Linked DNA regions of Struthio camelus. The protein of the gene in region 2 purifies or fractionates together with the protein of the main gene of each other region. This does not show direct contact. Links are inferred from orthologs where the notes say so. Each region holds a gene or a part of one and is shown on either strand. Other genes may lie near its edges. The genes, in order: CRADD and PIDD1.

Evidence for each region.
Region 1: the proteins of PIDD1 (region 2) and CRADD purify together in Homo sapiens (affinity purification with western blotting; 8 studies listed by BioGRID and IntAct, with this or other methods). This does not show direct contact. The link is inferred for Struthio camelus from reciprocal best matches to the Homo sapiens genes PIDD1 and CRADD.

The regions. Positions count from the first base shown.
Region 1 is NC_090942.1:51,379,400-51,392,332, reverse strand, and holds the start of CRADD (death domain-containing protein CRADD), read right to left. Parts: upstream 5,700-12,933; 5' UTR 5,510-5,699; intron 1,987-5,509; 5' UTR 1,979-1,986; coding exon 1,681-1,978; intron 1-1,680. UniProt on the Homo sapiens protein: Adapter protein that associates with PIDD1 and the caspase CASP2 to form the PIDDosome, a complex that activates CASP2 and triggers apoptosis.
Region 2 is NC_090946.1:16,116,165-16,128,457, forward strand, and holds the start of PIDD1 (p53-induced death domain-containing protein 1), read right to left. Parts: upstream 5,874-12,293; 5' UTR 5,746-5,873; intron 3,624-5,745; 5' UTR 3,523-3,623; coding exon 3,258-3,522; intron 1,471-3,257; coding exon 1,057-1,470; intron 332-1,056; coding exon 128-331; intron 1-127. Other genes in the region: RPLP2 (large ribosomal subunit protein P2), read left to right, coding at 7,556-7,678, 9,044-9,092, 10,911-11,012, 11,478-11,554. UniProt on the Homo sapiens protein: Component of the DNA damage/stress response pathway that functions downstream of p53/TP53 and can either promote cell survival or apoptosis.

The DNA.
Region 1 (12,933 bases), on a different chromosome or scaffold from region 2:
AAGTCTTTTCTAGCTTACACGCAAGATTTGGCAATAGGATTATCAGTACAGTCAACCCACACGAAACTAAAGAACTTGATATGCATAAATACAGCATGTTAGTCACAAACTATCAAGTACACGAAGAAATAATCCACAAAAGAATCAAAAGAACAAATGTCTGAAACTATTTTTCTAGTAACAAAATATGTGATCTTGAGTGTATTTGGCGGCTGTGTGTGTGTGTGTGTGTGTGTGTGTGTGTGTGTGCGCGTGTGTGCGTGTGTGGAAGTGCAGACATTATTCAAAAGCTTTACCAGCAATTAGCAAACACATTGATTTGTAAGGCAAATACAGAACATTAGTATGGCAGGATTTGTCATATCAACAAGGTCTTTTTCAACACTTCAATACCACAAGATTGCATTGTGCTGAGAACTCACAGTGTTTTCACCTATGGGAGGCATGTGATATTTATTCTCCAAAAAGTTCTGAAAGTTTTTCACTCGGTTCTGCAGCTGGGGAGCAAGCATAAAGCAATCTCCACACAGGTCCAACAGAAGGAAAAGCTGTCATAATATTCCATTAAAAATGTCCTAAGGTAAGATAATGTCATATTTGTCCAGCAGATCTTCACAAAACATTCTTGGGCGTGCAGCTAACTCAGACGCTGGCACGCATGATGTTCAACAGTTCTTAGAAACACATCTTCACAAGCTTAAGAGTCTCATGCAAAACAGACTGACACTGGAAAAATCACATCATGTGCATCATAATAGGACCAAATCCAGATCAGGTGGGGTTTGAGGGGGAAAGAAGAGAAGTTAATCAGATTGCTCAGAAACAACGTTCCCGAGTAAGAACTACTTCACTATTAAACTGGTAACAGTAGGATAACAGCTCAGACATGTTTCAAAAAAATCTTTTCTAGGACAGGAAAAGTATATTTTAAGCATTTTCCCCCGTACTTCAGAACAGCTCAACAATTGCATATGGGTATTCATTAAAAAAATCACTTCAGAGGAAACATCAGGCTCAAAAAACTGTTCTAGAAATACATCTAAATGTCAAAAAACAAGAGATCTGACTCAATAAGATTATATAATATCCACTAAATCTGTTAGCTGCTGTGCTCTTTTTAAAACTAAGCAATGGCTAGTAATTTTGGAGGTACTGATCCTAGACATGTGCACTCCAATAAACACAATAAACTACATAATTCTAAATTAATATATGCCACCAAATTAAAACCACATTAAAATCATAATTAAATCAAGTAAATAAAAATCCTGCCAATATCAACACTGTAGAAGTGAAACACTGTAAAACATACATAAAACAGATTAATCAGGTATGGATTATGAAGAGATTGCTCTTCAGCTAGTTGAAACTACTCTTTACAGTCTGCCCGTTTTGTGGTAAGGGACCCTGGGTCCTACATCTCAGACCCTCCAAATACAGCCTTTCCTTATGGAAGCTGCTGCCTCCCAGTATCCAAGTCAGCCTTGCTCACTCCCCAAACTTTGCAATGCTTCCTGGCGTTTGGCTGGCTTCCAGGAAATTCAGGCTGTGCCCTATGCTGGTTTCATGCTCCATATCAAGTTATGATGCATAACTTGAAATTACTGGTACATTCAATACATTCAAAATTACAGCTGAGAACAAGCTTCAAAACATCAGCAATAGCAATTCAGGCCTTACCTGCAGGATCTTCTACTGTCATTTCCTTACGCTTAGCTTTCAACTTGTCTTTAACCCATGGAAACTCCTGCAAGGAATCCAAGAATACATCAAATGCTTTGGGTCCTCTAGTAGGAAGAATATCAAGGAGCATCATGGTTTTCCTTTGACTGGTGGTTTGGGATTTTATTTCTTGAACATGACTGTCTGTGAGAATCCCCTCTTGGTAGAGGTACTGAATAACAAGTCCATCCACGAGCACCTCTGTGCAGAGCTCCAGACGCAGGGAGCGTAGAAGTTGCTTGTCTCTGGCATCCATCTGACAACCTAGAATATGAGAAAAGGAGCAGGAACACGCATGGAGATTAAAATACTTCAATCTTTAACATCCAGAAGTGATGTTCCATACCTGCCAACCTTTAGAAAGAATGCTAAACTCAGTCATCAGCCTGGGAAAACTACTAGTGATCCCAGCCATCTTCTTTCTGCTCAGATTTCACTGTCTCAGAAGCTAAAAGGCAGCCATTTTTGGGAAACATTAGACAGGAAGGGAACCTTTGGCATTGTGAAGACCAGTCCTTTGTTGGAACAATCAACCGGGCTGAATAACCTCATCCATTAACTGGTCAATGCCCATGCTGAAAGCAGCTATAGTATTTGCCAGTCCATAAGAGACTCTACACCCCCCCCCCCCCAAATTAAACAGATGGCACACCTGATCTCTACTACTGCTGTCTCTGACATTATTACTGTTGCAGTACTTCTGCCACAGTAGCACAAAAGCAGCAGCAGGACAGACAGAAAGAGCCCAGCCTGCAGCAACAGCAACAGAGTAGGTAGCTTTGGCTTGTGCAATACCTATTCATTTTAGAAGGGTTAGAAGTGCACCTTTTACACCAAGCTGTTCTCTCCCCTGACTCATCCTGGAAAGCTGTTCTAGAACTTGACTGATCTGATGACGAGAAACTTTCTTCGGATTTCCATCTTAAATTTATTCATCTTCTATTTATAGGCATTTGTTTTTCTGCCAAAACTCCTTCTTCAGCTTAAGTAGCTCTTTTCCCTCCCTGGTATTTACCCTTCTAATGAGTTTATAGAAAGCAATCAGATGCCTTCTCTCAGCTTCCATTTCACTTGAATAACGCTCTGACTAGACAAAAGCTGGAAAAGATGCATTTTATAGCAACTCTACAGAAGAGGAATCAAGGCCCAGAGAGGCCAAGCAACTCACCCTAGATCATATCATATAAAAAAATGAGTCAGTGCCAGAGCTGTCAACTGAATCAAGACATCTAGCCTAGTTGTTAATGACAAATACATCCTTAGGCCCATTCATTTCCTTGAAAAGGAAAATGATAGAGTAATACAATTAAATACTTTCTCATGACTAATCATGAAGCCAAAAAAAACTGTAGCAGGTGTCAACTGTGATTACCAAGAGAATTTCTGATAATTAAACTAGAAGCTGCTGTTCTGACAGCTAGACCTTGCAGAAACCATACTTCAGCTTGAAGATACAGGGAGAATCTAAGATTTTCAGAACTTTTGTAGGAAAGCTTCTAATGCCTTTAAGTTGTCAGAGATGCGTATTGACTCCCAAGGCGCCATCAAAGACACTTCTAAGTGGCCTGGTTGTTAAAATCCAAGGCAGGCGTTCAACAAAATATATAGGCCTCTAAATGGCATTTTGGACAGAAAATAAGAGCTTATGGCCAAAAGAGAGAGACAGGAAAATCCCCTGTGAGAAAGCCCCTTTGACATCCTGTGATAAAGCCACTTTCTGATAAAGCTTTCCCTGAGCACCGAGAGCAATGTTAGAGGGCACCTTCTCAGGAGGACTGCACCTTGGCTGAGCTAGTCAGTAGATTTCTTATATCCTGAGCTGAATTTTCAAATGCCTACCTTCTAGGCATCACACCTAGGGTCATCCGGGAATCAAACAACCACTATCCTGGCACAGATGCTCTTAAAAAAGCTGAATTTACTAGGCATAGCTCAGACTGCATCAAACTCTGTTAAGAGATGATAGTGCAGGCAAGGTGACAGAAGAACAGTAAACGACAGAGAACTGGATACTCATTTTGGATGGGTGAAACTGAAGACTCTGGTCTCTATATAACACCTTTATGCTACTGGGAGCGATCACCAGATTAAAGCAAAAGGGGTACAATTTAGGAAGCAGATCCCCCTACTTTCCCCTTCCCGGGGGGATTCCCTGACCACCCCTGAGCTGATAAAGTACTTGCAGAATTCAAGAGAGGCATCTAGCCACAGCTCTGAGAGAATTAGCTAAACCCAAGCAGAAAATAGTTTCTGATGCTATGAAACCCTGCTGCCTCACGTTCTGTGATGGTCGTCAAGAGGCCCATCTAAGAGGCTCACTCGTGCACTGAACAGGGAACACTTGAGTCCTCAGACAGTTCAGAACACTTCTTCAGTTCCCTTTCTTCATTCCTGGCCCAAGTGCTCAACACTTCAAAATTAAGGCCTTTTCAAATCATCTCTGCCTGCACCTTCTTGCACCGAAAAATGCTTTTATGGCTATGAATCTGAAAGGAGAATTTCTGCTGAAGCAGGCATCTGGCCCACTGACATTAGCATGAGCACAACCAAGGTTTTAAAAGTCCATCAGGCCTCTTAACTGAGAGGTCACTGGCAGAGTTACAGGGCTTCTTGATATTTAAAAGGGTGGTTTTTTTTTTTTAAGATTAACTATTTCTTTATGTGTGTTTACCACGAGGAGGAAAGGGCTTGTTTAGAGTTGGGAACTAAGCAGTCGGACATGGAAGTTTATCAGGATTTTGGTGTGTAACGCTCTAGGGCCAGAGTTTAATGCAGCAATGAACTAACTTCAATCCCAGCCTATATCTAAGGATCCAGAGTTAAGCACCAGGATAATTTTCTCTGGTAATACAGAGAAGTAAAATACGAGGAAAGTAAAAATATGAGACTCCAGTTTACTTCTACTTCAAAAATGGAAGGACGATGCAGCTCAAACCTTCTCCAGCTACACTCCAAAAATGTACCTTTCCACTGTCGATCCAAACTTTAAGAAATACAGCTCCTCGTTCTGATGAACGAGCACAATTCTTGATTTATTTCCACACTCACATGGACAAGTTTGGATTTTTATGGATCCACTGGCGTACAATCTGTCCAAGCTCGGGGACACAACTTTTGAAAACCTGGATTTCAAGAACTTTCTGATCCTAAAATGAGCATTTACTTAGTTTTTGCTAGAACCATGTCTGCACTCTCCCAAATGCCCAGGGGACTAGGCTGCGTATAACTGCAAATATGACTCCGTGTACCTGCTTAGGTAAGAATAAGGTCGACCCTACCAAACCCGTGTGCGATCTGGTTATTCGCAGTGTGTCTGCACAGTTTAAAAAAAAAAAAAAAAAGAAAGAAAGAAAAAGAAAGAAAAAAAAAAATCAAGTTGTGTTTATAACTTCCGAGCTGCAAACCGAACCGAGAGACAGCTGCTGCCGGGACACTTAACCCCGGGCGGCGCAGCTCCGTGCCGGCGCGGCCGCCGCCTCCCGCCCGGGGGGCGCCGCCACCCGCCGCCCCGGCGAGGCCCAGCGCCGCCCGGCCCCGGCCCCGGCGCCGCCCACGCCCGCTCCGCGCTGCTCCGGGGGGCGGCGGAGCGGCGAGGCGAGGCGAGGCCCTGGGCCAGGCGCCGGGGCGGGCTCTCCTCGCTCGCCGGCCCCCGCGCGGCTCCCCGCGGCGCCAGGGTTGGGGGGGGGGGGGGAAGGAAGACGGGGGGGCCGGCCGAGCCGGGCCGGGCGGGGAGGGCGGCGGCGGCGGCGCGCAGGCAGGGCCCCCCCGCCCCTGTCGGCGTACTTACAGGAGGGAAGTGGGAACTACGCGCAGCGCCCGAGCGCCCGCGGAGCCTGCGCGGGGGCCACCATCTTTGTTGAAGGCAAGCGGGCTTCGCCGGAAGCGGCCGCGGCTCGCGGCGCCGCCGCCGAGGAAGGGCCGCCGCCGCCGGCCGCGCTGACGGCGAGGGCGGGGGCCCGCCGCCGCCATGTTTGTTGTGGGCAGCGCCGCGGCGCGTGGTCCGCCCGTTAAGTCGGTTAGTCCGGCCGTTAGTCGGCCAGGCGCGGGGGAAGGCTGCGCGGCTCCGCTGTTTGTGCTTGTAGAGGCCATATTTTTTGATTTTGGGTTTTTTTTTTTATCTTTTTGGAAAGGCGAGGTGGCAGCGGAGCCAGCGGGTCTCTCGGCAGGAGCCGTTTGTTTGCCTCGAGGGCTTGGCTTTTGTTTTTCGGACGGGAACAAGAGTTAGGAGACTGGGCTTGCAACCAGCATTAACAGCTAGGGTAAAACAAGGGCTCAGGCTCCCGTGCTAGCAGCTCTGTGACGAGGCGGTATTTCCGTGAGGAAGGCTCGCTTCCAGGAGTTCACATCTCGAATACCTGCTACTGTCACCGTCTGGGCGTTCTTCAGAAAATGGAAGCGTTATAGCTAAAATAAAGCTAAGCTTACAAAAAAAGGAGTTTTCACGACATTAGAAACAGGTGATCTCGCTACTCGTTATGGATACTGGTTCTTATTTGCAAGTATATACTAAGCCAAACCTCACTCAGATGCTGGTGTTACCTCAAATACACCGCAGTAGCATGCTGAATGCTGTATATACTTGGTTTCGTTACTTTTAGCTGAGCAGCCTAAAAATGAAACTTTCATATCTGAAAAGCAGTTAGGTAAAGTCCAGCCTGTTTTTACCACATTCCTTGTGCTATGCACAGTCCAATATGTTCTCATCGTTTTATTCGTGTATTGTTGGATATGAAAACATTCCTTTCAATAGCTCATTTTATACGAATATTTGAAATCAAAGTACTACAGAAGAGAGAAAACTCTGATTCATAGATCTATTGCAATGATGCAGTGTCATTTCCTATCACGTATCACTGTAGAACTTTTTTCCAACGTAGTGTAGGTGTCAGGCGTCACATGGATTTCAGTGATGTCAGCTCTTTTCTTTAGTGTCTGGCGACGGCAATAGCAACGAAGGAAAAAAGATCCTGTGGAGCTGGAACGCGCTACCTTGAAGTAGCAGGCAGCCACAGCGAGCTGGCTGTGGTCTGGTCGACTTGCTAATGCCAACCCTTCGGAAAACCAGAAAAGGTGGCTGCTGCAGCTGCTGCTAGAAACGTTGCCACCATGTGAATTCTATTTGTACATTCGGTTTAGACTGCTCATATAGATTTAAGCATATTTGAAGTTATTTATGGAAACCTTTACGTGCCTTTGTTAGATATCGTACCCAGGAAATATTTGCCATGGAGAAATATAACTGAAAGTATTGTTGGTAGAGGTAGTATGCTGCATTTCTTCAGTATTTTATTTACCTTCAGGGTTTTGCATAAGGAGATGCATTTAGTGACACTTAGAGAGCTTATATCCCTTTTCTTTGATTTTTCCAGTGTTTAACAACAAAGCTGAGAATTTATGTGGACACAGAATGTGAGTCTAAAAGGCAAAGTTTGATGTACACTAGCCTTAAGAAATGTTTAAAGAAATTATATATAACTTAGTATATGGACAGTTTCTGCAGAAATGCTATCTGTTAGGCAATTTTAGCAATTTAGGCAATATTTTAGCTTAATTGACCATACCTATTTTGTTAGGATTATTTCCAGATAAATAATTTGATACAAGGGATTGAAATTGCTTTTAGATAACTGATAAATAGTATCTCATTCCAACACATCCATTAAAGCAAGGTAAATATTTTGGCCTCGGGCACATGTGTTAGTCTTCTAGGAACGTAGACATAAAAATTTTAAATGCCGCTATTGGTTGTTTCACTCAGGCATTAACATAATATTAACTAAGACATTAACAAGATAAACTGGAAACCACACAAGTAAGTCATCATCAGCAATTCTAACTGAAAAGAAGTATGCTGCTGTTGTAACCAAAGTACAACTGAGGTGTTCTTAAATTTTTATACCTTATGGAAAGTTTGTAATACTGGCTGTGAGAAAGTGCAACATCTGTAAGCGATGCATACTGACAGAGGACACTGCAAACCATCTATATGATCATTCTTTAGCACAGAACGCATGGCTCCTGAAAATTTCCTTTCTTAATTTCTAATATTTCTTACTTCCAATTTCTTTTCTTTTTTTTTTTCCAGATATAGTCACAATCTAAGGAACTGTGTTATATCTAGAATTGGAGTGACCAGCTTGGAGAATTACAGTATCACATCACTGTGATCCTGACAGCTGCACTTAATACCAGATAATGTACCTACATTTTAAAATAGAAAATAAATACAAGCAATTGCATCACTTGCATTTACTGTATCTTTTTGGCAGATCAGGCAATTATGGTTATTTGTTTTATGTGGTCCAAGGAGATCTTAGAAAGTTAACAAAACATATGGGTATGTACAGAGCAACTCTGGTTCCCACTGAAGTAAACGGTTACAGTCTTGCTGTTTTAAGTATAGCCAGCATTTAATCATGTCTTTGCTTACAGTCTAAACAGAGACGTGATGCAAAGAAAGAAATGGCGAAAAGAAAATAGATAAGCTTAGGAAGGATGAGGATAACAGCAGAGGTCTAAGTCTGATTAAAGGGAAAATCTGATGTTTCCTTTTGATATAAATTGAGTGGAAACTGTAAAGTAGTGTTTTGTCTTTATCAATACAAATCAACAGTTGGTTATGCTCCGAGTTTACCCTGAAGCTACAGGATAAGGATGCGCACAGGTGTTGCCTTACATCCAAGCAATAAAACCCTTAAACTTCATTTCAATTCTGTTTGGGTTCAGCTCTGACTAAAGTTGTTCCAGTTCGGTTCTGGTCCAAGTTCAACAAAACTTCAAAAGAACGGTTCAGTTCCATTCCAGTTTTAGGGGAAAAAAAAATACTTTAGCCAGTTTGGGTTCAGCTCAGCTCCCTACTAAATGTGCTAAAATCTGAAAGCTAACCTTAGCTAAACACATAGATTAGAATAGTATTTCCCAAACCTTTTAGATCAATGGACCACTATTCATCCTGCACATTTATCAGGGGCTACAATGTTATCATCAGATTTTTAACTTAAAATTGTATTCGGTGTGGTTCTGTGGATTGGGGAACCACCAGTGGTCTTCAGGCTGCAGTTTTTTGAACGGCTGAATTCAGTGTGGCAAGTCCAAATCTGCGGGAACCAAGCTAAGCAGCATCTTTTCTAACAGTGCTGTTCTCTTTTACATGTGGGTTATTACAGATCAGAATGCCAGATTTTTAAATTAACCATACACTTTTTTTAAAAAAGCCCAATTAAAAGTTCCAAATCTTCTTAGAAACACAGCACAAGTATAGTAAAATTTTTCAAAAGCGTTTGAGAGGATCCTTTATGCTAATTAGAGTCAAGCTCTATGCTAGCATTTACATATTTTCTTTGTTTTCTACATACTAATTTGTTTCTGCTGATAACAAGAGCCAAAATTTGTTTTTTAAAACTCGTGCAACCAGATTTAATCTATTAGGACTATGCTGTTTTCAATTGTCTGTAGGACAGCATTCCAACTTTAAAGACAAAAGAAAAGAAATATGAGCCTCTAGATTTGTTTATTAAAAACACATCTAATTGGTTAAATCTCTTACAAAACCTCTGAAATGAAGATGGAAAAAAGGAACATATATTATATGGTTGCCTGTCATTTTTAGAAAGAAGAGCACAGAAAACATTTCTGAATGTGATGTATCTTGAAAACACTATTAAAATGTAAGTCAAAGTGGCCGAAACTCAGTGGCCTAAGGACCAGATGACGGTCTTGCAAGCCACTGCCGTCCACCTCCTTCACATGTAACGATCCCTTCCCTTCCTTTTCCTCCTTGCCATCCCAGTACACAGCTCCTGGCATGCACAGCCCTCCCAAATGCTGCCACTCTGCTCTTCTCCTGAGCCTGCCACCGGATTCTGGGAGGAACCCACCGGCTCCTCGCCTTCCTGACAGCAGCAGGGCAGCAATTATCTGTGCTGGACTCTGGTTGGGAAGGGGGCTGGCACGGTCCAGGCTGCGCTTGCTATTCCAAAAGCGATTCCTCATCACCCCTGGGAAAAGATGACAGGCAGGATTGAAGTGTGCCACTGCTCGGGGTCAGCCCCTGGGCTGCCACTTAGATTACTCTGCTATTTCGTAACTTCTCATTCATATAAAAGCTTTAAATTAAACACAGTTCGAAGAGAGCAATGAATATAAAATGTAGGTGACACTTGTCATCAATTTTCTTAAAAGTATTATTTTATTAAAGGCACATCCAGCATGTAGATAAAATATAGCACAGAAAGTTTCAAAACACATATTAAAGCATGGTGTTTGAAATGACCATGTGTAGTGCCCCTTTACATTTACATTTGTTTTGATAATAAAAGTAACTATTTATTAGCAGTACTGGAATGAACTAATTCTTAATGCTGTTTACTTTGATGCAGATAATCTCTAGCCAAAAATTATATGTAGACTAGTACTAAGAAAAGAAGCAGGTATGAAATGTAAAACTGGCATGCTCATTCTGGAAAAAAAGGAATCTCTGCCATGAATTGTAGTAAAAAAACTTGCAATTCAAATTTGCAAAATGTAACTCCATATTTCTCTTACAAGGAATTTTTACTCCATTCTCTGTAAGTTTATGAATTAATATAGTTCTCTGCTTGTTTTCTTCATTTTCTTATATGTGAAACACAGAAGTTTAATTTAAAGATGCATTTAGTAGGCAGATGAAATACTGAAAGCCTCTAAATGTTTGTTCCAGACTTATAAAATACTTTTAAAACAGAAAACAACCGTCTTACTATTGTGAGAACAAACCAAGAAAATCCACAAAATAACCTTAAAATCGAATGCTGACAAATAAGTAAAAGGAATTCAAGAAGCAAGTCTGAAACCTTCTCACAAAACCAACTTCTTCTGTTTGCAAATTACAACATATGAACAGATTGTCTAGTATTTGCGATAAAGACTGGGAGGTTTTAGATAAAGATTGGGATGTAAAGAGGAGAATAAGCACTATTTTTTGTCATCTATTTCTTTCTTGAGAAATCTGTTCTAAATCTTCCCAAGAAACTTCTATTGCTTTTCTCATATGCAGTATGTATACTTCTAAAGGCTCTGACTTTCAGGTTAAACTTTTAAGGAGCTAGTGATGAGTCATGGAAAGTTTTTATAGGTAGCCTATCGAGGGATTTGCCACTCTCTATACTTCTTCCTTATGCCTCAATTTCAAACAGAAAATGTCCTCTAATTACAAATTCACTGAGTCCTTTTTGTTCCCTTTCAAAATGAAACCTGTATCCATTCGTGGTTACCGTGGGCTAGTTAAGCAGCCTGACGTAGGCACTACATCTTCCAACAGGGGACTTAAAAGAAACAGATGAACTTCAAGAAAACAGTTTATAGTTCTTACAGTCGGTTTCCCTTGCAGACAACACACGTCTGTGGTGCTTCAGCTAATTTTCTCAGAAAGGAGCTGTGATGCCACTTCCACTGCGCTGCAGTTACATAAGAATCTCAGTTTCCCAACTTACTTCCCTCTCTCTACCTTGCAGTGCAGGCATTCAAAGATATTACCATCATCGTAGCTTAAAATCTTACTGATATTAATTTTTTTAAAAGTGACTTTTCACTTTTACCCTGATGCACTACGAAACGTGAAGTCCACCACCCACACTAGGGATAAGCAAATTGCAGCCAATATAGGCTCAGTCCTGTAGGATAATGTTCTTCCTAAGAGGAAATGAGGCAGCTGAAAGTGCCATAAACAATAACCACACGAGTATTGATCGACAACTTATTCCTCGCTAAAGACTGTGTCAATAAGCAACATGTTAGGTGATAAAAAAGCAAATGCATGAGATATGTTATATAGGTGCCCTGCGCAACCCCTCAAATTCAGAGATTCCCACTGAGAAAAGCTGTGCGGGTACAAAACAGTCATCTGAACAGATCCTATTTCAGGGCTGAAACGTTAAGAGATACAACTCCATTTTAACAAAGCATAATTAAAAGTGATTTTACAGCTTTCAAAAATCAATCTTACAACTGTTTCTTAGATAGTTCTTACTATCAAGCTTGGTCCAAAGCCTAATAAATAATAACTTCAATAAACTCCAAAGAAGAATGTGCATTGGGCTTTGGATTTTTCCCACATTTAACATACCTCTGCATTTACTATTTGTTAACCGACAGTGCACCAAATTACAATCCTCAGCTATGAAACATCAATTATGTAACAATTTGACTGAAAACAAAAGGATTTTTTTATATAACCTCTGCCTGGCAATGAAAGAAAAATTAAGGCAGGCACATTGAACTTGGGAATTTTTTAACGTATGTTGTTCTGTGCAACACTCAGCACTCAACGTTTCCTGGATATCGCCTATCTGAACTTTTTCCTACTAGATGCCCCCTTCTTTTTTAATGCTAACATAAGTAGCTTTTGCTCCTGCAGTTTTTCCTCCTTAATGTCATAGAATGCAACAATTTTATGTTGGTGTTTCAGTTCCTAAAGTGTTAACGGCTCTAAATGGGGGGAAGGGGGAAGTGCAGGTGCAATCCTTTTTTTTTTTTTTAATAGGATTTAAGCAGAACAAGATCCACAGTTTATCAAGGAACTCAAACATCATAATTATGGTAACACATTTTTACATTTCGGTAGACTCTTTCTCTGAGGACTAGGCTATTTCAAAGCCCTACAGATAACTTGATTAATGAACAGAATTAATCCCTCTCAACCTTGGAAACGCTGGGGCTAGGACAGACTGCTTTTGTGATAAGCTCTATTCTCCCCCTAAAAGTTCAGTCATCTAGCCAGACTTTGTTTTTATATGTGTTTTAAAACTGAGTGTTGATATTAGATACTCCCCCATGATTTTTAAGGTCTACTAATACACCTTTCCCCATATTAATGTCTGCTCCAATGCATCTGTGCTTTTTCTAGGCATGATGCTTAGTTTTCTGTATACATCTTGTGGGAAACGGCATCTCTCTTAGAAGTTGACTTTTTTGTGCTCTTTTCCTTCTGTTTCTGTGAAAATAAAACCAGCCCCTTCTCAGATAACAAAAGCTAGACAGATAATTCCCTCCTCAACAACCTGAATAGCTTTCCATCTGGTTTCCTGGTTGCTACGCTTTACCTCGTTTGTAGCAAACACCCTGTCTAATAAAACAGATAGTGGCCGGTAAGGTTTGGCACAGACTGACTTCACAGCACCTGATAACAAAGCTTTTGGCTTCCAATTTCTTTGACTGATCTTCAGCCCATAGTAG
Region 2 (12,293 bases):
CAGACAAATAAATACTGGTCTAATTCCCTGCTGCTTCTCCTCTCTAACCCAAATCTATTCACACTGTGCTGGGCAGAGTGAGGGAGCAGCTGGGCCGGACCGACACAAGAAGAAGCTGTGCAATTACCAGCCTGTGGGGAGGGCTCGGCTTCTCCTAAGGGGTTGCCGCGGAGGTGCACAAACGGCGAGGTCTGGATCTCGGCGGGGACGGCTCGGAGGCAGTTGTTCTGCAGATCGAGTCTGGACAAGTTGGGCAGGCTGGCGAGTGACGCGGGGACTGTCACCAGGAGATTGCTGTGGAGATGCAGCCGCCGCAGAGACTTCAAATTGGCTGCAGGTTAGAACAAGACGTGACTCCCCATCCGGGTTGTTAATTACATTGCACATCAGCTCCAAACCCCCTCCCTGCTCTCCTCACCACAAACACACGCACACTCCTGCCGTCAAGCACTGGATCTTCATTCCCATTGCGCATGGAAGGAGCATACACCATAAAGGAAAGGCTCAAGCGCTCTACATATCTTTAATTCACAAAATAAAGGGGTCCAGTGAATTAGCTGAGAGACACTGCAGCCTTTTTTGCCTTGTGCTTTACAGCACCCAGCTAGGAGTATGGCTGTGAGATGCTTCCAAAATACAGCAGCATCAGTGACAACCCCTGTGCCCAGAACCATATAGGGCCTAAAAGCCCTATGCAGAAAGCTGGGCAGCAAAGTCAGGGTCTGGCCCCGTGGACCGGTCCACGTCTGACAACCATGATTTCAAGCCCAGATTTCCATCTGACCATTAAGCCCCAGTCCTTCTGCTTCCAGTGCTGGATGCTACCCAAAACCAGATCCTCAGCTTCTGTAAACTGGACTGAAATCTTAGGAGTCCTGCTGATCACAGAGAGCGTGGTCCAGAGATCTCTTAATGCTAAAGAGACTGACTGAACCAAGCATGTTTCTTCCGGATATCCCTTCCGTTCAGGCTCTAGCATAATGGACAGTTCCTGCTAACCACTCCATGGGGAGAGAGACTGAGGGTCATCTTCTTTTCCCCAGGGCAAATATTTACCTAAAGAGTCTGGGATACTCGATAACCGATTCCCAGAGAGATCCAGTTCTGTGCAGTTGCGCAGATTTCCAACCTCATCAGGGAGGTATTCCAAGGCATTTTCCGAGAGATCCAGGTCCTGCAGCGCTGCCAGCTCCCCAATGCTCTGCGGTAAGTCCTTCAGCTGGTTTTTCATAGCAGAGAAGAAAGTCAGCTTGCTCAGACAGCCAAAGTCTTCAGGCAGCACCACCAGGCTGTTGTGGCTCACCAGGAGCACACGGAGGCTGGGGAGGTGGGGGATGCAGCTGGGCAAGGTGGAAAGGCGATTGAAGCTGAGATCCAGGTGAGTGAGACACCTCAGGTTCCCAAAGTCCGGTGGCAAATTTGTCAGAGAACCAGGCTGACACGAGCCAAATTCGTCCCGGGCATGGCCACCTGGGTGCAGAGGGAAGCAGAGGGAGAGGTCGCTGTGCTGAAGGGATACCTCACCAGCCTCACACCAAGCTCCTTTCTGAAGCCGTAGCACAGAAAACGGAGTTACGCATCACTACGAGCAACACTGATTACAAAGTACTTGTGGATATGCGTTTTTTCCGCTCCTTGCCTCAGTTTCCCCATCTGTGAAAGAGGTATAACAGTGAAGACCTGCTATGAAATCAAGAGCTGCCACAGTCAGCTAGGAGAGCTCACCTAAACACACGGGGAGTCAAAGCTCAGAAACAGCCAGGACACTCCATGCCTTACTGCCACTCAGTAGGGTGGTTCACACCCCTCCAAGCCTCCCGCTCTCCTCTTCCACCTCTTACCAACCCCACTGGACAAGAAACAACCTTTCTGGGGGGACCGTGGGGGAGGACTCCTCGCCCTCCAGGCTCTGCCCAGGCTGCCGAAGCACGAACAGCCCCAAGAACTGAGACCTGCAGGACAGGGGAGGGACCCTGGGCAGCCCCCCCACTCCATCCTCGGACGAAGCAGGCACGAGGAAAGCAGTCAAAATATGGCCAAAAAGCAGGTAGCTCAGTAGCAGGCCAGATGACAAGGCAGAGAGGGAGGGGTAGGACCCCCGCCCCAGCTTGCGAAACTCCAGCTGGAGAAGGGTTGCGCCCAGGAAAAAGAAGTTAGGCAACCAAAGGCAGACGCCCACTACGCTCCGTTTCTTCACTGCTTCCTCCTGCCCTTCCAACTGCTGTCCGTTTGTAAAAGCTTACAGCAGAGGGCACCAAAAAATATTTATGCTGCAAAATGGTAAAAAATGTAAATAATCAAACTGTACCTGGAACATAAGAAAATCTCAGTGACCTACTCTATTCCACTTCAGGATGCTTAGGGTGTACGTTCATCTCTCAAAGCAAGTCTCACAACAGGCACTACTGTTATCACGACTTTATTGAAGGGGGAAAAGACAAACAAAATGATTTGCATGAGATTTTATGAGAAATCTGTGGCAGACACAGAAATGAACCTCAGTCTCTCAAGTTTTCAGCTCGAATGCTGAAGCCTGGCCACAAAACCACCCTTTTCTCTCATGCGTTTTTAAATTCTACCTCCCAAAGACCAAATGATTCAGTCTGATACAAAAATCCTATCATTCATATTGAGATCCTCCTACAATAAAGAGACGAGAAAGTCAAAGAACGATATAATATTTATATGTGACAGTTATTACAGCATGCCAAATTACATGCACATCCTGAGTCCTACTTTTTGATAAAATGTTGAACAGCCTCTTCGGGTCGATCTTGAATGCTGCTAAGCTTATCCTTGCTGACATTAAGCAAGGATCGAGTTAGGATTTATTCAGAGCAACCTGCAGCAAAAAGAGCTCATTATGCTTCCAAAAATAAAAGAGGGGCTGAACAGCCACCAAAAAATCTATCACCTGTCAATCCCCCTCTCTATACATAACTGCAAAAAACATTCTCCTTGCAGAGGATGGATAAAGAAAAAGTCGCAGTGTCCATCTAACTAGACTCCACAAACTGGTCCCCAGGCAGCTGCAGAAACAAAGCGGGGAAACGCGAGCGTCAAAGCTGCTTCTTGGTGAAATCCGCATGCAGCTTTGAGCAAGACTAAGAGCCAAAGCTCTAGGAAGGGGCACTGGTACCACCAAAAAAACCCCACACATAAAGGCAGTTTGTCCTGCGGATGTGGAGAGGAGAATAAAAAAAAAATAACTAAAACTGAGCCTAGGAAAGTGGATGGTGACAGGTCCACGAATTTACCTTTCAGCACGAGGGATTTCAGGCTCTTCAGATGAGGGAGGATGCCCAGCATGGCGCCAAGGAGGCGATCGTTGCCGCTGAGCCGGACGAATTCCACCTGGGCCAGGTCTCCCCCGCGCCTCTCAAACAGCTGGAGGAAGCGGCAGCAGCCGTCAGGATAAACATCCAGATTCAGCCTGTTGTCCGCGAGGCAGGGGCCGGTGAGCGCGGGAGCCCCCGAAGTGCCCTCCCCGCGCTCGTCCCCGAGCCCCGGCAGCTCTGCCATCCTCTGCGTCTCGTTCGCGGGGCTGGGACATGCTCTGACTTGCCAGGCAGGGAGGCACCGGCAGCACGGCGAGGCAGCCGGGCCAAGGAGTGAGGACGGCTCTGAAAGGAAGCACAAGCGCACGGTGAAGGCCTCCCGCGCAAGCCCAGAAAGGCTGCAAACAGCTTATAATCAACAGCAACGGGGTATAAGGGATTGCACGTGTGTAACTGAGAGCTTTACGGGCAGAAGGCATGGAGAATGAAGTGCGAGAGACACTGCGGAGGCTTCTCCCTCCTCAGGAAAAACCTCTGCGTTCTCCTAGACTTCAAGGAGTGGAAGAGCTATCCAACATCAGAATAAACAGCAAGAGTAACTTGAAAAGACATAATCACTAATGCCTACGCCTGGCACAGAAGTTTTAACTGGCAGATTTCAAAGTGCCTTAGCAAGATGGTCAGGAGGTTTATCAGCAACTGGGGAAACTGGGCCAGAGAGAGCCGAGCAGAGCCCAGGGTCCTCGCAGGCGGCGTTGGGCCTGGAGCGCAGCCGGTTGTGCAACCGGGCGCCAAGGGGATAAACGTGAGCGCAGCTGGAAGTGGGCAAAGGGCAGTGGAGCAAACGGGGCAGTGACAGGGAGCGGGGCCATCGGAGGGATGTCCGTGGCACAGGAGCACCGCACCGTGCGGTGCGACTCGTGCTCTTACAGGTTTGCCTCCGCAGGGATGCTGGAAGCCAGCAATGAGGACGTGAAGCCACAGCAGACCAGTGACCAGCTATTCCTTTTTTTCGCCCCACGCGGCACCCTTTGTGGACAAGGAGAAGGGTGAAAAGCAGGCATCGTATAGTGTGTGCTAAGGAGGATTTAATGCTCAAGGAGCAGAGGTATGAAATTTGAACAAATTAATTACTCCACTAACTTCTCACTGTGAAGAAGCCTCCATGCACCCAGGACTTTGGAAATCAGCATGTGTGCATGCGACAACTGCCATGGCACATCGATAACATAAAAACGAGCACAAGTACTACCTTTGTTTTTGTACCAACGGTTACACACTTCCAAGTCCCCCATTTCACGTTCTTTCCACTTAACTTCCTTTATCTTTTTTAACTCCTCCTGAGCTTGGCAATGAAAGAAGCTTAGGATGTGAGTTTCATGTTTAAAAACCCTGCCTTGGATGGAATAGCCGAACACAAGTTTGAGTGAGTGATGTAGAACTGTAAAAACTGTTAACAACTTCAACATCCAAGGGCAGTAGAAGCAGTACTCTGAAGAGCACCCCTTTTTACTGTTAAGCTGCAGGACATGGCAGTACCAATGCTTCCCTGCCACAGTCTGGAAGGAGACATCACACACAACACCCTGAAAGAGCAGAAGCCTTGCTGACGCATAAGGAAGGGAAGAAAGGGCAAATGGAAAGTACCACTTTAGGAAAAAGATAAGTATTTCTCATGAAAACGCTGTACACAATACACACACAGACCTCAGCTCTGTCACAGATACGTGTAAGCAAAACGCTGGTGTGATGCCGCTTTGCAGAGCCATTGGTGGTGAAGAGACCAGAGAGCAGCTCTGCCCTGGCCAGGCCGGGGAGGCTCAGGTACCGCACATCGAGCCCCAGGCACCAAGACAGGCACACAGGCAGCAGACGTGTGCGCAGGCACGCACACGGGCAGGCACACGTGTGCACATATGTACGGGCAGGCACACGCGTGCACATGCACAGGCACACACACGTGCACCTGGACACAAACAAGCACATATGTACACACACACATGCACATGCACCCAGGCACATACACACGCACACACACGTACCCAGGCCCCCACTCGGGTACACGCACACACGTGCACAGGCATACAGGCACACACACATGCTCTCAGGCGCACACGTGTGCACATGCACACAGGCGCGCACGTGTGGGTGCATGCACACGTGCACACATACAGGCATGCGCATGCACGTACACGCACATGTGTGCATGCAGACAGGCACACACGCGCATCTACACACACACACACACGTGCACACGCACACGGGTGTACAGCACACATGTGCACTTGCACACAGGCACACCCCCGGGCCGTCCTCACCTGCCCTGCTGCCAGCTCCAGCAGCCCCAGGCCCCCGTCACCCCACACCCACAAGGCACAGCCCCCGGGGACCTCCCAGGCCACACGCACCGGGCCCCACTGAGCACAGCCGCGCTCATCTCACCCCCACCCCTGGCCCCTGGCACAACCTTGGTCCCGAAAGCCTGGCTGCTGCGCTGGGTCGGGCTCGGCTCAGCCGGCCACTTCCTGCAAAGTTTGCAGTGAACTCCGGGCTGCCTGCCGGGGCGGGCCGCGCTGGAGGAGGTGCCGGATGCAGCAGACCAAGGGGCAGGCGGCTCTGGAGAGCTGGGCCAAGGCACTAGGCCCTGCCACCGCACCCCAGCTGGTGTCCACGCTGCTCCCCCGCAGGGGGTGGCTGGGGCCAGATGTGCGCTTAGCCTGGAGGGAAAGAGAGGCGAGGGCAGCTCCTGATAGCGCTCTAATTTGCTGCAAATTCAAGGAGAAAAAACAAGCAGGAACAGAGACCGCAAGCCCTGACGTGTGTGGGACTGGGGGCTGCAGAGCTGGGGGAGGCTCCTGCAGGGGGGCCTTCGCAGGGCTGCGCTGCATCTCATCGCTCTGCACTCTGGGAGCCGCCCTGCCTTCGATTTTTTCATTGCAAGAGATTTAGTTCAGCTTAACACTGTGTCCGGGCAAGACCCCACAGCATGTATTTTGCTCTTTGTTTTGTTAAGAACGTGCAATGTCTGATTTTGCGTTCACAACAGGTGTCCAGTCAGTGACTCCATGCTGTGGCGCGCTGGTCTCGCTGTGCAATGCCACCTGAGAAGTGCGAGGTCCCTGTTTCAGCACTTCTCGCTCAAAGCTGCCTATAAGCTGTGCAGTGCCCCGAGGGAAATTTCTGTCCCTACAGGGAGCAAAAAACTAATTGTGCCCATGGCTGTGCTTTTTAGTTTACCAGACTGCTTTCCTGAAACACTTCCAAAGTTATACAACCGGGAGCCTGGCTGTTTATTGGAGGCACCTGAATTCCCAGGGGTGAGAAGCGGAAAGCGCTGCGTATGGGGTTTCTATACTGTCTGCAGGACAGGAACGGCCAAAGCTTCCTTATAACACTCCACTGCAGTGATGCAGCTTTATTTGGGCCTGTTGGATCCTGGCGCAGTATTCCTAAGAGCCTCCGCGCTCCTTTCTCGTTTTTATTCGTTTCCCTAGCACAGGGGTGAAGGAATCAAATCAAGCGACGAAGGCCATTTTCGCCAGCAGGAATCCAGGCTGGATCAACGCCTAACCTTCCTGGCACGGCTCCTAACTCCAGGAGCGACTTCGGGCTGCGTTTTTTCCCGTCCTCGCGATGCCTTTTTTTGCTGACAGGACGGCGGCCGCAACGGCCAGACTCTGGATTTCACAGGCGGCAGCAGCGCCAATCCAGGCCTAGCGCGGAGCAACGACGGGAGCCCGCGCTAATAACGGAGCTCGAGGGGGAGTAACTGTAACGAAGGGTTAGCCTGAGCCGTGCCGAGAGGAAGCGAGAGGAAGCCGGGACGGCGGCAGCAGCACCTCCACTGCCGCTTCCGCCCTAACGGACATCAAGATGGCGGCCGCCGCCTACTCGCCGCCGCCCCTCCCACCCACCCACCCATTGGCTGCGCGGCTCGCGGCCGGCGCGGCCCAATGGCAGCGCGCGTTGCTGAGGGGTGACGGGAAGAAGCCGCCGCCGAGGCGCCGCCTCTTCCCTTTCGCCGCCGGGCTGCCGTCGCGAGCGCACGTCGCAGGCCTCTCTCCCGCGCCGCCCCCCCTCCCTCCGAGTAAGCGCGCGGCGACCCCATTTCCCTACTTCCCCCCCCCCCAACACACCTCTCCCGCGGGAGTGGTCGCGCCCGCCCGGGACGGTCCGCGGGGCTCGGGTGGGACCATTGCGGGAGCCGGGGGGGAGGGGGAGGCGGCCATGTGCTGGGGCGGCGGCGCGGCGCTGAGGCGGCTGTTGTCTCTCGCAGGATGCGTTACGTCGCGGCCTACCTGCTCGCCGTCCTCGGCGGCAACGAGTCGCCCACCTCCAAGGACCTGAAGAAGATCCTGGACAGCGTCGGCATCGAGACGGACGACGAGCGCGTGAACAAGGTGCTTGCTTCAAGAGTTGCCGCTTTTCCAGGGGGCAAACGCTCAGTAACGTCCTGGCGTTTGTCACACCCCCCCCCCCCCGGAGAAGCCCGTTTTCCTTCCCTGAGCAACGCAGAGGGAAAAGGGCCTGCGGTCATAACGGGCAGGAGACAAACAGGAACGGTGCGGGAGTGGTTACGTAGAAAACCAGGCTTTTTAAGAAGAGCTTTCTAGTGGGAAAGCTGCTCCTGATGTAGTAAGCTTCCCGTTTGCTGCATTAATGGCCGTGGGAAGAAGAAGGAAAAATTGTCTTACTGCCTGCCGCGTACCTGTATGCAGGGTGTTTCCAGAGGGGCGGAGGAAAAACAAGTTATTTTCCCGTTCGGGTGCCGTATCTTCACCCTCAGCCAAAATGATGGGTTGACTCAGCGGACAGAAGCCTTGTAGGGTTTGGGAGGTTGCGTTGAACTCGCGTTCAAACACCAGGTCTTTTAGCTTTGGCTTGTTTACCCTTGTTTAAAACCTTCATAAATTTAACTTTTTTTTTTTCCTGATCCTTCAATATCCAGAAAGTCTCACTGGTGTTTGTTTTGATCATAGTTATCCATCTTTCTATATTTGTACTGGCTGGACTTTATGCCAGTGTAAATCTAGTGAAGCCATGACACCTTCCAGATTAAGGGAGCCCACAGACATGGCATTTCACAGGCTGCATGCTCTGTGTGAGCAGGAGATATTTCTTCAAAACTTCTTGGTTGGCCTTACCTCATTTGTTCATTTCCTTTGGCTTTGGTGACGCTGCAGTGCTCAGCACTGACACCCAATAGCAGGAGCTCATTAGTAAGATCTATGACGTTCCTTTTTGATTTTTTTTTTTTTTGCTTGCTTGCTTTAGCAATTTTTGTTTTCCTCATCCCTGGTTATACAACAATGATAGTAAAATAGAAGTCAGGACTCTCTGTTCCAGTGCAAGGATATAGTCACCAGCTTGGCTTTAACATTTGGTAGTGCTAAGAACAGGACCCTGTGGTTTTTGGTGTGAGGCCCAGTGCTTCAGAGCTTCCCAGTGGAAGTTAAGCAAGATTAGTTATCAGTCCCTCAGTGAGTAACAAACCATTAGTGGGGTTTCCCAGTTGGCTCCAGAAGGCACCCTACTTTCTGTAACGTCCATGGATTCATTATGAATTTCTTGCAACAGATTTCATGAGAAAACTTTCACAGAAAAGCACAAAAGAGCTAGCTGGAACTTGTATTTCAATTTTCTGCTCCTTCCACTGAGTTGGAGCTGGGCAGGCAGCGGGATGGAGGCATTGCTCACCGTTAATCAATACTTGTGTAAAGGTAGCTTGTACTCTTGTTTTGACATTTTAAATTTAATTTACACAGGTTATTAGTGAGCTGAATGGAAAGAACATTGAGGATGTCATTGCTCAGGGTAAGTGCAGTCTTCGAGTGTCACAGGTAATTGCCTCTACCAGTTTGGTAACTTAGGCTTAAGAGCACAGAATTACTGTCAACTCCTTGACATATACATCAGTTTGGTCTCGCTGGCGAGCACTTTCATGCTGGATCTCTGCTGAAATGACTGTGAAATCCAGCAGGTCCATTCTAATTCCTTGCAGGTCAGTGCCAGTACCTGCTGGGTTTCGCTTGTGGACCACATTAAACTGGGAGACTTCAAAATGTATGAGCTTACTGGTAGTCTGCTCATAATATAGTTTTCTGGACATGCTGATTAGAGAAAGAATTAGCTAACCTTTGGTACTCTGGGAGATTTTTTTGGATTTACCCACTTGTGCAGACTAATTGAGTAAAATAGGAAGAAGAGACTGTTAAATGTAAGTAGAAGTGACGGTTCTTGTTAAGGGCACAGTTGCCCCCACTGCAATTAATACAAGCCTCCAAAACACACCTTTGCTAGAGCTGCCCCAATCTGGCCTTTCCTTTTCTCTGAGATGGGGCTCTCTGAGGTACTGACTTGTATAGGAAGCTTGTGCTCTTACCTGCTGGCACCTAAGCTGGAACTTTTAACGTTATTTCACTGGGTCACAGGGCTGAAATAACGTAGAGCTGAGGTAGTGCAAAGGTCTGGAATTAATTAATCTCTATTTTGCAAATACATAGGCGCAATACATACATATTTGAACTATATTTGCTTAAAGGTTGCCAGGACTTTGCCTGGCATTGCTGATAAAAGCAGTAACTGGATGTTTCTGTCAGTGTGGTCTGAAGACCTAAGAGAGCCATTGTGCGTGTGTTTACAACACATTTAAGCCACTTCTTTGTGATACTTGATCTTAAAATATAGTTTCCTAGAACACATTGACAGGCATATGAAACATGTTTGTTTACTTTGCGAGTTTATTAGAGCTTGAAATAACAAGGAATTATTTAGAAACTGATTCCCAGAAATTGTAATACAGGCAAACATACTGTGTATGCAACCTCTGAATGCCAAGGGAGCCTTGGTATGTGAAAGGCAGATGCCAGAGAACTGGCTGACTTTCCAAAGACAAGCATAAATCAGAAGGAAGTTTGCTAATCTGAAAGGACATGCCATAGTTCACAGGGTGTTGGAGGATCTGGTCAGAATGTTGTATTTTTTGCCACAAATAACAGCGTTTTTTTCCTTCTCTCTCCTATGTGATCTTAGTCATGCCCTTACAATTGTCTATACCTTCAAACAAACAAACAAAATAGCCGAGTCTGCCCATACTTATTTTTGAGGTATATTAAAGTTACCTACTTTCTGAACTGTTACCTTGTATTGCAACATGGTAGCCAATAAATAGACACAGCTCAACAGAAATCATCTAGAAAGAGCTCTAAGTCTTGTTTTTCTGTATCTGTAAAATTTGCTGATGTGTTTGCCACTATTTTTATAGGACCATTTTGGAAAAAATGTAGGGACTGTATATACAGAAGAAAACTTTATTAATACAGTATCAGTGTTCTCCAGACAAGCTTTTGATGTGAACAAGCACTTTTAAACCTAAACTCCAGCTCCTTTTAGTAGAATGGTTTATGCTTTCTTACGATGGATGCAGCTGGTTGTTCCTTTCAGTTAATAGTGACTGTTCAGTCTTAGACTTAGATTCTGAGTTTTCTACACTTCCGTTTCTCCTCCTTTTCACCCTGCCTGTGTTCCAGACTGGCTAGATAAAAAAGCTGGTCTGCGTGTTGCAATACCTGTAGCATCATTAAACACACTGCAGTGAGCATTTAACTACTGTTCTTCCTCTGTCTTGTTCAGGTAATGGAAAACTTGCCAGCATGCCTGCGGGAGGAGCTGTGGCCGTCTCTGCTGGCGGGGGCTCTGCTGCTCCTGCTGCAGGTGGTGCTGCCCCCGCTGCAGGTGAGCGTGGGTGTCTGGTTAGTGTGCTGAGTTGGGGGGAGACATGTCGTCACAGGACAGCTCCTTTTTCCTCTGTTAAAATCTTGGGTGAAATCCAAATGTCATTCTCTTTCCAGTTTGGCAGTTGAGTGTGCGACTGAAATGTGAATTGAACTGTTACTTTTTGAGGGCATTTACAAGTGTTTGTTCTTTAGCCACCATCCCATAAGCTTGTTCTGGTTCTGAGAATCAAAATGGACTTTATTGTGTAAAGCACATCCCTTCAATAGTAGTGTCTCAGTCCCTACAGTGTTTATATTGGCTACTGAAAGGGAATGAATGGCTGCGAAGATGAACGGTGGAGGCTGAAATACCAATAACATGGAAGCTGAGAACACCAAAACATTAACTTTGTTCCTGAAAACCTGTGGTGCAAAAAATGTACAGTAAATACTGATGATTGGCATTGTTTTCCTCCATTTTCAGCTGAGGAGAAGAAAGAAGAGAAGAAAGAAGAATCTGAAGAATCTGATGATGACATGGGATTCGGCCTCTTTGATTAATTATTTGTTATAGAAATACTATTAAATTTTGTTTGTTTTAAAGGGTTTTTGAGTTTATTAGTATAACCATAAAGTACTATTGGATTCAGACAGCTTTCTTAAAATAGCTCTGACAAAGCTTGGGTTTTTAGCTCTGTCTGAAATAGATATGCTACTTTGAGTAAATGAGGCCATGGGAATGATTCTTTTAAAGCGCTTGGGTATTGCTAAGCTTGTGTGAACCTGAAGGCTTGTTTTGAGACTATTTATTAAATGGTATATGGAAGTTGAATTTACGTGAATTCACCCTCTTCACACTATCTTGCCATCATAGTTATTCAGGAAAGAATCCTACCTATTCAGCCATAAAAAGGCTTATTTTTTGGAATCTGTGTAGTCAATTCCAAAACATGAGTGGCAAGCAAGTCCAGATGAGTCCACAAATGTTACAACCAATACTTATTAGAACTAGCTTTGAAATAACTATTTAAAAACCCACCGATTTCATTTTGGCTTCATATTCCAAGATCTAGAAACAACACCAATAACATGTTTGACTCTACTTGGATTTCACGTTACATCCATATGCTCAACTTTAAGCCTTCCACAAGATTACCACATGCCTGCCTGCAGGCCCTGCTCTTCAGGGGCTTTTAACCCAAGGACACTGAAGTCAGTCCAAAGGCGCTCTTAATTTCTGTTTTGGGGACAGCCAAAGTATCAGCTTGAAATGGAACAAAAAGAAAATAGGAAAATATTT